Linked DNA regions of Lonchura striata. The protein of the gene in region 2 interacts with the protein of the main gene of each other region in a biochemical or structural test. Links are inferred from orthologs where the notes say so. Each region holds a gene or a part of one and is shown on either strand. Other genes may lie near its edges.

What was found.
Region 1: the proteins of MMP2 (region 2) and TIMP4 form a complex in vitro, tested with the Homo sapiens proteins (2 studies listed by BioGRID). The link is inferred for Lonchura striata from reciprocal best matches to the Homo sapiens genes MMP2 and TIMP4.

What each region holds. Positions count from the first base shown.
Region 1 is NC_134614.1:4,977,098-4,984,763, reverse strand, and holds the start of TIMP4 (metalloproteinase inhibitor 4), read right to left. Parts: upstream 3,035-7,666; 5' UTR 2,983-3,034; coding exon 2,782-2,982; intron 1-2,781. UniProt on the Homo sapiens protein: Complexes with metalloproteinases (such as collagenases) and irreversibly inactivates them by binding to their catalytic zinc cofactor. Known to act on MMP-1, MMP-2, MMP-3, MMP-7 and MMP-9.
Region 2 is NC_134615.1:14,215,876-14,223,643, reverse strand, and holds the start of MMP2 (72 kDa type IV collagenase), read right to left. Parts: upstream 3,048-7,768; 5' UTR 2,885-3,047; coding exon 2,741-2,884; intron 1-2,740.

The sequences.
Region 1 (7,666 bases), on a different chromosome or scaffold from region 2:
TCTACCCCAAAACTCACACCGAGGTGATAATTTTTGTGAATTTTTGGTGCTAATTCTTGATGTATTTTACAAAAAAACCGAGGATATTTTCCAAAAGAGATATTTGGAGGATCAGTTCTTCCTTGCTGTGCTCTATAAAGCAAATTCTCTGCCTGTCCCCCAGCTGGGCATGCTCCCACCCTGATCACCCTGCAGGATCCTTTTGGGGGCTGCAGGCGGCAGGAAAAGCAGCAGCAGCACTTGAAAGAAGATTGGAAGCTGAGCACAGGATATCCTCACCTTCCACACACACTGTGGATGAAATTCTTTAAAATGCTGGCACCTGAGGTGAGGCGTGGTGTGCTCCAGCTGCTGCTCTGAGCCAGCTGCTCAGCAAGCTGAGGAACTGTGCAGCAGCTTCCATTTTCACCTCAGTCACATTCTTTGGATGTTTGGCTATCCCTCCCTGTCACTCCTGTGCGGTTTGCCTTGCTGGGTTTATTTTGGTGCCACCCTGGGTGCACAGAGGGTGGGCAGGTCACAGAGCTCCTGGTTTCCAGCCAAAATCCTTCCCTTCCCAAAATCCCTCCCTCCCTGGCGCAGGGAGCTGGGTGCTGGGGCAGGGGAAAGTTTGGTCCTGAATTCTCTCTGGTCAGGAGGAAGGATTTGAGGAGTGGGGGTTACCAAAACCCTTCTGTTGTTAGTCTAAACTTGTGTGTGATGTAGAGCATCTTTCTGAAAAAACACATCTCTGCTTTGTCCAGGCCTGGCTGACTTGGAATTAAATAAACACCTCTTCCTTCTGCCTGAGTTTTGAACAGGCCTCCACTGCTGAAAATTAGGGAGAAACTCCAAAGCAGCTTCAATACGCAAATATTTCAGAGAATTCAGATTGCTGAAGAATGGGATTATAGGCTGAAAATCATCACTCAGATTAGATTGCTCCTTGTTTGTGCTGAGGTAGAAGATTTGCTTTTCTCTCAAGCTCCTGATGTGCTGCAGAGTAGCAGCAGAACATTGAAGTGCCAGTGGGAGGAAAGGGAATTCTCTGGCATTGATGTACTTGTTTTTGTAAGGAAACATTTGAATATATCCTTAATATTTAAGAAGATGGAAAGTGGCATATGCTGACAGCTTTGGGGTTTGTTTTAGCAAGGAAGAGACTGGCTGGTTGAAATTACTATAAAACCTTACCAGAAGTCCCATGTGTTAACCATCCCTGTGAATACTTTGAAATATTCTTGTTTACCAAAGATTCCTCCTACTTAAACTCCTGTGAGGGAATTCTATCAGTGGATACAACTTGAATGATTGAATATTTTTTTTTGAAAGCACATAGCCATACCTAACAACCTTCTTAAGTGGTCCCAGTAAATGGAAAAGCGCAAAATTTATAAAATAATATGCAGTGAAAGAGGAGAGATGAAACTACCTTGAAAAGCAGCCCACCTCACCTGTGCACACTCACACATTTTCATTTAGAAAGATTACCTACTTCTTGTGTGTTCCAGAAAAAAAGTAAATGATCATTTAAATGTTCATCACCATGATCATTTGAACAGCAGTGAGAGTTTGATGGTGACTTCAATTGGCTCAAGACATGTCTTCTCAATTTGAATTAATGAATATATCTCCTTATTGGAGCTGAACAAGAGTGGGAGAACCCAGTGAGATTCTGAAGCTGTGGCTTTGGGTGCTTGCTTCCCCAGCAATGTTCATACAAACGGATTTTTGTTTGTGTGAATATGAGGGAAGGACTCCTGGCCCTGCAAATATCCCTGTCCACAATGAACAAAGGGCTTGCTCCCTCAGCTGGGAATGCTCCCCTGCCTTTGGAAAGCTTGCATCATGCAGAGCTGCCACACCAGCAGAGCACAGGTGATCAGGAATCCTCCAAAACCAGATGTGTTGACACCACTCACAGAATGAAGCACATTTTTGGTGCCTTCAAAATCAAAAATAACAAACTTCTTCATCAAAATGTCATGACTTAGCAAAAAAATAAGTCCTGAATATCAAAAAACCACCCTCTGAATATAATTATTTAGCAAAAACCTCCTGAATATAAAAAAAAAAAAATCTCCTGAATATCATTATTTAGCAAAATTATTCATCAAAATATCATGATTTAGCAAAAACTTCCTGAATATCAAAAAACCTCCCTCTGAATATAATTATTTAGCAAAAACTTCCTGAATATAAAATAAATCTACCGAATATCATTATTTAGCAAAATTCTTCACCAAAATATCATGGCTTAGCAAAAACCTCCAGAATATCAAAAAACCACCCTCTTAATATAATTATTTAGCAAAAACCTCCTGAATATAAAAAAAAAAAAAAAATCTCCTGAATATCATTATTTAGCAAAATTCTTCATCAAAATATCATGATTTAACAAAAACCTCCTGAATATAAAAAACCCCCTACCTCCTGAATATCATTATTTAGCAAAAACCTCCCGAATATCTCTCAAGTTCCTGAAGTGCTGCAAAGTAGCAGCAGAACATTGAAGTGCCAGTGGGAGGAAAGGGAATTCTCTGGCATTGATGTACTTATTCCTGTAAGGAAACATTTGAATATATCCTTAATATTTAAGGATTAATTAAAACTTTCCTTTTCTTTTTTTATTTCCCTTTTTTTAATGCCTCCTGTGATTTTTTTTTTTTCATGTGGGTCTAACTGTGAGGGCAGCTGGAGACTTCTCCAGCTTTCCCTGCATTTTGTGGTAAATTATTTTGGGCTGAAATATGCAGAGGTTATCAGCATTGAACTTCAAAAAAGCTGAGTGGTTCCATGTACCTTTATTTGTTTGATTTCATACCGGATCATTTTGTGGGTATCAAGGGGATCATCACTGGCAGGAACAACCTTTTCACTGGATATTTTTGCTCGGATCACTGGAAGAGAGAGAGAGAGAGAGAGAGAGAGAGATTTAAATGCACATGCGCAGATGACAATTTTACAAGCAAAAATGGAAATTATACTGATAGATTTTGGCATTGTTTTGACACTTCAGGTACAAGTAGATTTTAAAGATTTTACCATAAGAACACCAGCTGAGCTCCTGAAAACAAAAGTAAGTGGGATGTCTGTGATGTAAATCTGGAGTCCCAAGAATGTGGAAACCTGATTGATGTTACCACTCAGTTTTGACAAAAAATGTCCATCAAAAATCTCTGGAAGACTTGAATCCCGTAAAATTTGACAAAATACCCATCATTAAATCAGTGAGCAGAGGAAAGGGACATGTCTGTTGATTACAGAATTGTTGATCAAATAAATAGTCTCGAAATTAGCCCCTAAAAGCCTGTGCCAGGCAAGATGAAAGCATTGATTTCATGCATGAAATTAGAACAATAATCTTGTATTCATTTTTCTGGAGTTTAATAGAGCACCCATTAGTTGTGTTAACCTGTAGAAATCAATTACTCCCTGTTTGGAATTACTTAATTTATTTCCTGTTCTTTAATCAAGGAGAGTAGGAGATTTTATGAAAGAAGAAATGGATTCTTTTCCCCTCTCCTTGTTTGAGGCATCTCTCTTGTGTGTGATGTTTTAAATACACCAGGAATCTTTGGAAAAAATAAAATTAGACTGAATTGCTTGGTGCCACCAAGATAAAAGTATCAGAACACAGCCTGGATTTCAGCTGAGCAGAATTTTGTTTGGCACAACTATCAGAACATACCCATTTCCTCTTTGCTTTTCAGTTTAGTTATTGACCAGGAAGCACCATCAGAAGAACAAAAGTAATTTCTTTTCTATTCCATTTCTTATTTTCTGGATTAGATGTATAATAATAATTAAAACCACCTTAAAATTGCATATGTTTCCCTTTACAAGCAAAGCTAAAGACAATAAAAAAGCAGAGACATAGTAATATTCATTGTTTTATTGTGGTTCTAAAGTGGTTCTAAGAATATGGAGCATGGCCAAAATTCCTCTGGGGATTTTATCCCCCTAAATTAGTGAGAGCCCCACTTTTACTCTGTTCTGGATGGACACTGCTGCAGCTCCTGGGTTAGAGCAGCCTGTGCTTGGGGAGAGGCACTGGCAAAGCCAGAGCAGAGCAAAGTTTTGTGACATCAAAATTACACATTCCCCCCACAAAACTCCAATTTTTTACTAGATTTGCCTCATTTTTATCATATTTAACATTATGGTTAAGGCAAAGGAATAGGAAACCCAGCCTGAAACACAGCCAGGTGCAGGTCAGTCCCACCTAACCCTGGACAATTCCCATTTCCTCACTAATTAGCTGAGCAAACTGGATGGAATAATCAACATGTTAAATTATTGTCAAAATCAACATGTTAATTATTATTAAAGCTGCAGATGGCTGCAGCTTCCAAGCTCCAGCAGGATGCTCCCTCCTCCTGAGCCATCAAACCCTTCCCGAGGAGCATTTTGGACTGGTTGGGAGGAAAGAGTTCTTTTAAGTACAAACAGCAAATTCCTCATTTCACATGGAAAGTGGCAGCATCTCTTTAATAATGTGCAGATGTGAACAACCCCACAAATTATCTGTGTGTCTGCAGTGCTCTGATCTCCTTCCAGGGGAAAAGTGCTGTGGGTTGGGTGTGCTCAACCCTGCTGGCAGGGACAAATTAGGATGGTGTTGCTTTGTTTTAAGATGCTCTCCTTTGCATCATTACTCCCTAAAAAAAAAAAAAAAAAAAAAAAAAAAGGATTTCTCATTAAAGAGTCTGTTCAGTTCTGAAGGAAAGGGCTGAGAAAACAACATTATTTTCCCAGTACCATAACATGCTTTATGTGCAGGAAATCTTTCCTGCCTACTCAGTGTGGGATAATTAAAACTGCTTTCCCCACGTGTTCAATGTTGAAACATTGTGCATTTCTATATTTTTATGAAATTCTACTTGTTAGCACATGAGGGGAAGGTTACAGATAATGCCTGATAGCTCCAGAGATCTCCATGGAGTTGTGCAAGGCTGAAAGTGAAACGTCCTGGGGTTTGTCATACAGAGATCTCTTTTTTTTAGTGGGTGTGTAGATGAAAATGAGAAGTATTTTTGTTGTGTGTGTGTTTCATTTGTTTGTTTAAGAGAAAACTTCCAGATGGCAAAGGAGGACAAATTGAGAATTTTTTTAACAGTAAGAAAGCTTAATTGTCTAAACTTTGAGCTATTTGGGTTCTACCCTTTTATTCTCCAGAAACCAAACACACAGAGATCTTTTGGCACCTTTTAATTCTTCTTGGGTTCCTTTTTATTTTTATTTTCTGTGCATTGATATTTTTTTGCCATCAGTGTCGTCTGGCTGTCTCCTTAAACCTCGGATTCATGTGGTTGCTCCTGTTTTTAACCACAAGCACTTCCTGCTGCAGCATTCCTGGGCATCTCCCTCTCCTCTCTGGTGGCTCAGGGGGCTCAGGATTCCTCCGACTCTGCACTTCTTTTCAGGACATGGTTTTGAGCATTCCAGGGCTGGCTTGGCCTCTCTGTGTGAGTGAGAACAGCCTCTGGTTGTTCAGTAATAATGTCATTTTAGCTGTTATTGCTTCCTTATGAGGAATTTGCATCTATGGAATACATAGGCACGGATTTCACGTTTCAGTGCCAGTAATTCCAAATGCCTCGGATTCGTTCTGCACTAAAAATACAGACTTTAATATTTCAGGAGGAGGATGTAGCTTCTCTGTGGACTCAACTTTGATAAAATGTCATTTTCTGCCCTCACTTTGCAGCTGGAGGTTGTCTCAGGTGACTGAACTGGAATTTGAGGTATAGGACAATGCCCAGCCTTTGGGCACTCACCTGAAATGTGTTAAGAATATATTTACTCCTTCTCTCCTGAATAGTAATGAACCTCTCCCAGCCATTTGTAAATCAGTAGGAGATCATTTTAACTGGGTAAAACAAAGCACATATTTAGTTTATTACTTGATATGTTTGTGTTTATTCAGTCAGGAGAGAAGTGTCAGGGTTTGAACAATATAGAAAGGTTTATATGCAGTAAGGGTAGAAAGATGGGCATTAACAGCATCCTTCCCAAACCTGGGTGATTTCCTTCTACATTAATTAATACTAATTAATACTAATTAAATAAACATCACTTTCTGTGTTGGGGATTTTTCTGATCATGGGGATCTACTTTTGTTACGGGTGCATTTTCCTTACTCTGAGGAAATTCCCTGCCATGAGACTGATTTTACTCCACCACAGTGGCAAAAACAATGAAATATGAAGGGAGAGAAGGCACAAAAAACTGAGCAGTCACTGCAGGGCCCATTCCAAGGCACAGATATGGATGGCATCTGGATAAACCAAATCCTTGAAATTAATGAAAATAAATATATTAATAGATAATATATTAATATTATAATAGACTAAAATAATATCTTAATACTTATATTAATATAAAATATATTATAATTAAAATATATTAATAGATAATTAACATATTGATAGACTGAAATTAATATATTCCCTAAAAGTAGTGTCCTTTTTAGACTCTGAGTTATTTCTAAGGCAATAACTGAGAGGAAACTGTTGAGTGAAGAATTACTCTCATTGTTACAAGTTATTATTAAATAAGTCATTCTGTATTATGGTATTTAATATTTTATATAATGTTACTGTACTTAAATGGTGAGTTTATCCTCAAGCTACTTTTCACAGTCCAAGTGTTAGAAGACAAGCAGCTACTCAGCTAAAATAACCAATTTTACTACTCCTTCAAAAAGGAAAGCAAGCTGGAGTTTACTCCTCAAATAAACTTTATAATCCTAAGAAGCAGGAGGTAAAATAGAAGGTAAAAAATCTGATGAAAAAATGAGGTATTTTCGTCCACTATATGTTAAGTACCAGCAACTGCATAGTGAAAAATAATTATTTAGGAAGATATTTAAGATACTGGGCATAAGAGCAAGAATTCAAGAAATTAAGATAATTAAGAATAAATTTAAAAAAATAGGATACTGCTGAACATATAACAAGAAAATATGTTATATATCAATCCTTCTGTGCATTCTTGTTTTAAATATATAAATAGATAAATAGGTAAATAGATATAGGCGCATTGAGGAAGAATCTGTTCTTCAGTTGTACCTCCAGTTCACTTCAGATTTTTGACAGGCTACGCCAGAGCTCTGTGAATAGAAATGTGATCTCCACCTCTTCTAAGCAGCCTTCCTCTCCAGAAATCAGAGAAGTTTATTTCCTATCTCACAAGTTTATAATTACAGTCAGCTTTGCTACAAAAACCTTGAAATGAGACTTCAAAAACTATATTGACAGGAAAAGATGTAAGCTACTAAAAAGTTATCAAGACTCATGAAGCTCTTTTTTTCTCTTATATTTCAAAGGCTCAATTTAGCCCTTTCATTTAATTACCTAAAATACAAAGAGTAATTTTTGAGCACTCCTTTCCAGCTGTCTCTTTAGTGTCTGACACTTCAGTCCAGCTGCTCTTAGATGTTCTTGCTCTTGGAGGGACAAGGAATAAAAGGCAAAGGAGAGGGAGCTAAATGAGAGTGTGTGGCTGTTACATGGCTGGAATGAAGATGGCATCCTAAATGTAGATAAAAAGCATCCAAAAAGGATTTTTCTGAAATAGTCAGAGTGTGCAGTATGAAATGTAGCAGAGCTACGGACACAGAATATGGATGTGCATCATTTTGAAGGTCCATAAATTCAGATTAACTTCTTTCTATAAAAGCTGT
Region 2 (7,768 bases):
TCATAAGGGACCCAAGAGATGGTACAAATCCCATTGTTTTAATCTCAAATAATACCCACTAAAGTCTCCTCCCCTTCTCTTAAGGATGGGTTTACGCTGTTTTATGCCCTTCTGTGAAAGAGAAGCCATGTGAAATAGCAGGTATTCCCAAACTGCACCCAAAGGGGCCCTTGGCACTGCACAGAGCTGAGAGGTGCCCTTGCCAATGGTGCTGTGAGACAGGATGGCTGCAAGGTACTGATCTTTCCAGTAAAAACAGTCTGCAGCTGAGGAAGAAACATCCTTCAGGTATGGTATCCCAGATATTAACTACAAGTCCAAGGGAGGAAAACAGCTGAATAAGGTAAGGTATATTTACCAAAAAATAGACGATGAATATCAGGGAGAACTATTTCAAATTGAGGATTACAAGAAGCCTGACAAAATGACCGCACATTTAAGTTCTTGCGCCACCAAGTATTCCCAAGAGAAACCTTTTTTCATGTGTATAATTAATTGCTTAAGTTTACCCAGGAGACTGGGCATAAAACCACAACACCAGCAAAATAACGCAGAGGATATTTGATAACTGCAATTGGTCAAGCCTAGCTTTCACCACCTTCCTCACAAAGTCCAGGCTAACCTCATCTGCCCAGTATAGGAAATGGTTCAGGGATTACTCAGAAAAGGATTTCATCAAGATGTTACACCATTTCCTTCAGAAGGTCCTCCATCCATCATGATTGAGCACAGACTATGGCTACTTTTTGTGATTTTTGTAATCTCTGATGTGGTATTTCTCCAGTGGGGACTGTGGCACTGGCAAATGAAGGACACACAGTGACTTCATCTTTGCTTCCACTGAGCTGCTCTCCACACATAGTTAATGGGGCCTGGTGGAAATTATGTGAAATGCATTGAGAACATAATCAAAAAAAGCCAGTTTGGTTCTTAGTTTTCATTTCATGTAATTTGATGGGTTTTCTTACACCTTTGCTTGCATCCCTCAGTGACATACCATGGTGTAATACAGACTGCACGTAAGAACTGACATTTACTGAAGAACCAGGCTGCTGCTCTTGCCATTTTAGGTTTGGGAGCAAGCTATACAATTGAAACTATAAACTGAGGCATGATGAAGAATTTTACTTGCTAGGGTTCTAAATAAAAAGCTAACCCCTTTCAGTTTTTTCCTAAAATGGAGATTTTACTGAAGATGAGAAATGACCATGATCAGCTGTTCTATGAGAGAATCTTGAAGAAAATGTAATGTCTATGAAAACCACATCTTGGCCTAGGCAGTTTCCCCAGAGTCAGCAGGGAGTTGTGGTGATTTGGAATTTTGATCCAGCCCATTAATGAAACAGGGTCCAGCTGCAACATAGCAATTTGTGTTCTGATGCTGAGTGTTGGGGCTGCTCTGATGGAGGGCGTGAGGAAAGGCAGCCAGTTAGCATTGCCCAAGAATACCCCAAGAAAGACAAAGAAGGACTGCAGTGTTAAACCAGCTTGCAATTTTCCTCTGAGTACACATAATAAATAGGTTGTTTGAAAGAAATAGAGTTGAGGGGAGATATAGATTGCAGTTATTGAATAAAATTCTGGCTGTGTCTAAGAAAATAGATTCTCTTAGAGTGGATAAATTGCTGTTAGACACGTGGGACCCCACTCTCCTCTCCCAAATGCACTGCCCCTGCCCCCAGCTCTTGGCTACTGTGCTGCTAAGGCCAAACCTTGGGTGAATTTGTTTTGTTAACGGCTGAGGAATGCCCTATTTGGGTCAGTTTGTCTGTTTTTCCTAAACTTTCCGACACAGCTCCCAACTGGAAATTCTCTCTGTACTCTCCCCCAGACCTCCTTTAACCTGGCAAACTTTCCCAAGATGCACACAAACTCCTAAAGAAAAGTGACCAACTTTCAAGTCTCTATGTCCTAAAATAAGAATAATTTCTCTCAATCCTCCTTAAAATGGATTTGCTGCTGAAGAAGAGAAATAATTAGTCTATAATTTGCATGCTAAAATAAGGACAATCCATCTCAATCTCCCTAGAAATGGACTTCCCCATAATGTCACTTTTATGAATGTCCACAGGGTTAAAAAAAAGTTAGAATAAAATGCTGTAGAGTTAGAGCTATAATTTGCTAATATACAGAAACACAAACTCCTTTTTTTTTTTTTTTGTTCCAGATCAGATTTGGGAAAAAATTCTTTAAACCTCGGTGAGATTGTTTTCCAAAGTCAAAACTAGTCACAATGGCATCTGAAATTTGAGCCAGCTTTCAGTTGTAGTGTCCCTTAAAGTACTGTTTATGCAATGCACAGTAAACAATCTGGAAAACACACTCTTGAAAGCTATGATACATACATTGAGGGAGTCTCAACTGCCCTCACTTCTACTGGATTTAAGTAAAAAAATTAGATGTCTCTTATTTGCCCTTCTCCCCTCTTACCATTGCAATTTTTTATTATAGTCATGATGATTTCATGAGGATATTTTGTATCTTGAGACTTAAGGGAAAAAAAGAAAAACAACAAAAAACCGACTTTCTTTGCTGGCTTTAAAAATTTTAAGAGAGGAAACATTACTTGGCTCCAGTTTTAACTTTTGAAAGCTGATACGTTTGCTAGCTAGCTAGCACTTCCAGAGACTCCAGGGAAAGAATGCTACAGTCATTCCTTAGCCTCAGCTGAATCAAGAAAGAAACATCTGCTTATGAAACAACAATATAGATCCAAAGCAAAGATGAAACCAACACTTACCACTGCTAGCTCTTTGTCTGTTTTGGGAGTGCTGTCTCCAGGAAACTTTATGATTGGTGATGGTGCGGCTAAAGTTTTGTTAAAAAGATAAACTTGGATGAATAGTACTTTAAAAACGAAGCCATGGCCAATGTGAGTCTTCATTCTGCCTAAACTTGTGCTCTCCTCTTTGCAAAAAGCTTTTCCCCGCTGCCTCTCCGTTACTTTAGCTGCAAAGTGCACCAGTTGCTTATCTGCACATCTTTACTCCCAGCACCGCTTTCCCTTTTGCTTGCTCCAGCAGTTCCTTTGTATGTTTAAAACATCCAGATGCGCAGTCTCAAGCTACCACAAGAGGAAGTCTGAAAACTAGTGGAAACATGAGAAAAGGGCAGTTACCAGATGTGATTGCTGTGATTTTAAGGTAGCAACAGGCAGATAGTTACTATTGCTGCAAGAGGCCACATTTTCTCCTCATTTGCATTTACAAAAGCGTTTATTTATGCCGTAGAAGAGGAAAAAACAAAACCTGACAATCTTGAAGACAAGGTATCTCACTTTGGTATATATTTAAAATATAAATTTAAAATTTATATTTTAAATTAAAAAAAAAGAAAAAGAGAAAGAAATTACTAAACATTATTTTCCTGTCTAAGCATTTTTTTCTATTTTTTAGCCTATTTTTATGGCACAGATATAATGATATCCTTAAGTCATATGTGAATATGCTCCCACACAGTGCCTTGCAGCAAATATTTTGATTATGGATTTTGAGGCAGACCCTGCACAGGGCAGTGCAGCTGAGCACTTTGTCCCCCTCCTGCTGAGGCTACGCAGAGTGTGGGTCTGTACTTGGGGCTCCCTCCCTGCTCTCTGCACAATGTGCAGAGCTCTCAGTAACATCATTGTGCCTTGCTGGGTTCAGAACCAGCTTTGGGCTTTGCCACCAGCAGATATCACCTTACCCCCACAGGATAAAAGATAAATTAGGCAGATTCAGCAAGAGATATGAACTTCAATAAAGGATGTCAGGGAAACTGTACAAAATTCAGCGTTTGCTTGTAATGGGGGTTTGAGCACCTGGCACAACTGCCTTAATCTGAAATTTTGGTGTAAATATGGCCATTGTCATGGACAGTTGTTTATTGTGTCATTTAGAATATTGCTGGCTTTGAGGTGCTGTTACTAGTGGAATATTATTTTAGCTGAATTTCCCTAATCTAGGGATTTGACTCATGATTTTTCAAGATGGGAGGCTGGCAATTCTGCATGATTGCAAACTGTGTTCTGGCCAGCCAAGGGTCTACTGTTTCTACTGAACACAAGTCCAGCTATGAACGTTCCTCTGACCTGTATGTCATCATAAAGATTTCCAGGGCATCCCAATCAGTGCTGAATGAATATTTTCCAGGTATGACCTGTTAACAAATAGGGCTGCTAGCATGCAGGTGTTTGGTGTTCACTATTTGATAATTGGTTGTAAATAGTTAATATTGGCAGTTAGATTTATGCTAATATCAAACTATTTTGCTAACTGCACCCCATCATCCATGATGTGAATAGTCTTTCATAAAGGCAGGGATTTCAAGGAGAGGGCTGAGGGGCTCAGGGAGAAAGCATTTGCAGGGGATTTTGCTGCCCATGTCCTTCCACTGGGAGCCCAACACAGCAGCGGTGTGATGGGTTAGAAGGGCTGGGTGAATCAGCCATGGGAAAGAACACTTGAGGCTCAGGAGAGAATGAGGATTACGGGAACTTGTGTGTGACTGGAGCTGTCTTTGTCAGCAAGTGGCTTTGTACTTATCTCCACTCATCCTCTCAGGAACGAATCCAACCTGACTTGAGTTACAGTGAACAACTTTCCCCTAATGGTTCAGCTTTGAAATGACACATGGTTCTTTTAGCTTTTCCCCATCAGCAAAAATCCATGGTCATTTAAAGTGTTGCCTTAATAAACAGCAGTTCTGAAAATATGATCCAGTTTTTCCAGAGCCTGGTACTTGGTTGTGGGGAATGACTCTTCTGCTTTGTTTGTGATGACAGTTTATAATTGCATCTGGCCTTGTGACACTGTAAGAGAACAAAGGCCAAGGAAGCCTTCACTACACGTGCCAAGTTACTCTTAGGTCTCCTTAATTAAGCAAGTACAAATATTATGGATCGTGTTGCAAATTCTGCAGTTATCTCTGTGTTCCATGTTAGGTCAAAGACTGATGTAAATCTTAAGGCATGAGAACCACATCATTTTCATAAGAATTTTAATGTAATTTATGACAGCTTAGCAGCTTTCATTTAGAAGGGTACTGTGGTAAAGCAGTTTAAAGCCAAATGTGTCCTGGAACATTCCAGTTGCACTCATAAGCCTCATTGAAAACTAATGAATGCTCTGTTCTCTGTCTGTCCTAATGAATATCGGATCAGAAATGGATGAGGAATCTTTGAATAGACTGTGAGGTCTGTGAAGTTTGAAAATCTCACTGTATTTTGTTTCTTATCCTTGCTGGCAGGGAGCGTAGGTTGAGGTCATCTTTTAAATACATTTCGGAAAAGAAATTGGCAAAGCAACAGAAACCATGCAGACCTGCAGTGAAGCATTGTTTCTCACCTTTGTTTGCATTTTTGCTGGTAAATTGCTTTGCTGGTACTACTTCAGTGTGTGAGCAGTTAAGCAAGTTATGTTCAATTAGGAAACATAATACATAATAGAATATTTTATTTATGGGTATTGGGTGAACCAACAGATTGGGTTTCTGAGCAGTCAGTGAAAACATTCCCTTTCATTAGCACATGACATCAGAGATACTGTCTGAGCTGCCCTCTTTCAGATTGGCAAGGCAAAATAAATTCTGGTCACACTTTGTTAGAGTAGAAGCCTTATTGTATTGAGACTATATTTGGGGCAAAATTCTTCTTATCTCTTTGTATTTGTCTTTAAGCTCTTTGCCATCATCCTGTTCTTAGTGTGCTAGAGAGGTGCTGCTTTTACAGGCTGGGAGTGCAGTGGTGCTCAGTACTTGCAGTGGGGACGTTCTGCTGCTGGCCTCTGCTTTGAGTTGAGATTTGAGGCTGGGCTAAATGACTCCTGAGCTCTGGTACAGCCCAAATTACCCCATCACCCCACCACTCTTGCTGAATTTGAAGATATGGCATGATGTGTTTTCTTATCTCAGACTAGATAAGCCCAAAATCAGGGAGACAGGCTCTGAAGGATCTGGAGGGATGTGTTCTGACATTGACAGATTGACAGGATAACTGCTGTTAGTGTTTGCTGCATAGACATTCCTCAGCCCTCCACACTCTGAAGAGATTACCTCTGACAGTAATTAGTGACTTCTGGGTAGACTTCCTAGAAGTTAAACATTAAAGAAAGAGGCAATACAAAACACAGGGAAAGAAGAAAAAACCCTGCTGAGAGGAGAACCTAAGGCCATCTACAACTCTTCAGAAAAGCTGAAGCAATAATCTAGATCTCCTTCCTTTTACCTTAATCCTCTGTAAAATATTTTGCCTATGTAGAGAGATGCTGCCTCTGGATTAGCTACAGGAGATGAACAGAGTTGTATCTCCCACTACTGCCTTTATGTACATGTAGAAAAAAAATTAATTTCTCTGCTGCATATAATTTCTGTATTGGGTATTTATCTGGTACACATATTGAGGTATTTCTCCTGAGCCATAAAAGGCTCCTCTGTAGTTACTGAGTTTGTTTCAGGTTAGAACCACACCATATTAAAATTTTAAACCATCTACTTTGTGAGTAAGATGCCAAATGTACTTTTTAAATGTCTACTTTTGTACTAATAGTTACTGTATGGCAGACAGTCTGAGAAGGCAAATACCTCTTTTGAGGATATACTTCAATAATAATAGTAAAAAGGGAATCATAATGTCTTTTGAGCTGTAAGCTACATATCTAGGTAGATCAGACTATGGTAAGAGAAACATGAGCATGCATTAACATGCTGTGTTTATCAAAGGATTTTTCTGTTTCAGAAAATGATTTTTGAAATGATTCAGAAGCACTCAGCAGTTTCAAGATTACAGTTCTGATGGTGTCCTGGATAATTTGCTTACAGAGTAATCATCCCTCCAAAAACACACTGTAGCAATTCCTACTGTCACTAATTCCAAATTTTTTTCAGAGGCTGATGATTTCCTCATGGTTTCAGAAGAGTATGTTAGACAGAGTGTCGTGAGCACAAGCCATGGGAGGATGGTGGATTTATTCCTGGTGGGGTTTCATGTTTTAGATTGGAATCTGTTGCTAGGCTGAAGAAATAAATAAGCATCAGGACAATTAAGGTCTTAAGAAAACAGCTGATCCTCTGATTACCAGCTAAGCTGGTTCAACTAGGTGCAGTGGGATGTGTGTCTGCAAGTAAACTATTGCAGTATGTGTATGTAACCTCTTCTTGTGTGTTTTCTAGGCCATGTGCTGTCAGGTTATAGCTCCCAGTTTAGGAAACAAAGCAAGTTATTAATGGACTTCAGCAGGATTTGTGGAAAAGAAATAGCTCATTAAAGTTGTCAGAGCAACTGCAGTGTCCTCAGAGTTTTGCAATCAGAATTTCTAAGGAACTGGAAAACCCAAAGCTCAGGTGATGGAAAAGTTTGCCTGAACTTCAGGAGAGATGCCAATGAAAATATCCCAAGGTCCAGTTTAGCCAGACCTTTGGCTACTTTTTGGTTTTCCAGAGTTGCCTTCTGACTCATTATCTTTTCAGAAATCCCATTTTGCAATTTCTCCTAGATCAGCATTCCAGATTCTTTCTTCTTGTCTGGGGAAGAAAAGTTTATAACTAACAAGAAAGCAAAGAGCTTACAGAAGAAAGCACGGGACTGGACTATGCTATAAAAGGGATTTTAATGCCTTTCACCACATGTCTGACTTGTAGGACACTGTGGTAGAAGTGCAAGGCCATGAGTGTGGTGCCAGGCTGAGGCTCCCCAGAGCCTGAGGTGTGCAGGAATCATGTTCACTGCTCTTTCCCAGTGGTACCTGTCCTGAAGGTGGGCCATCTACACAAATAGCAGTAGTGACACACCAAG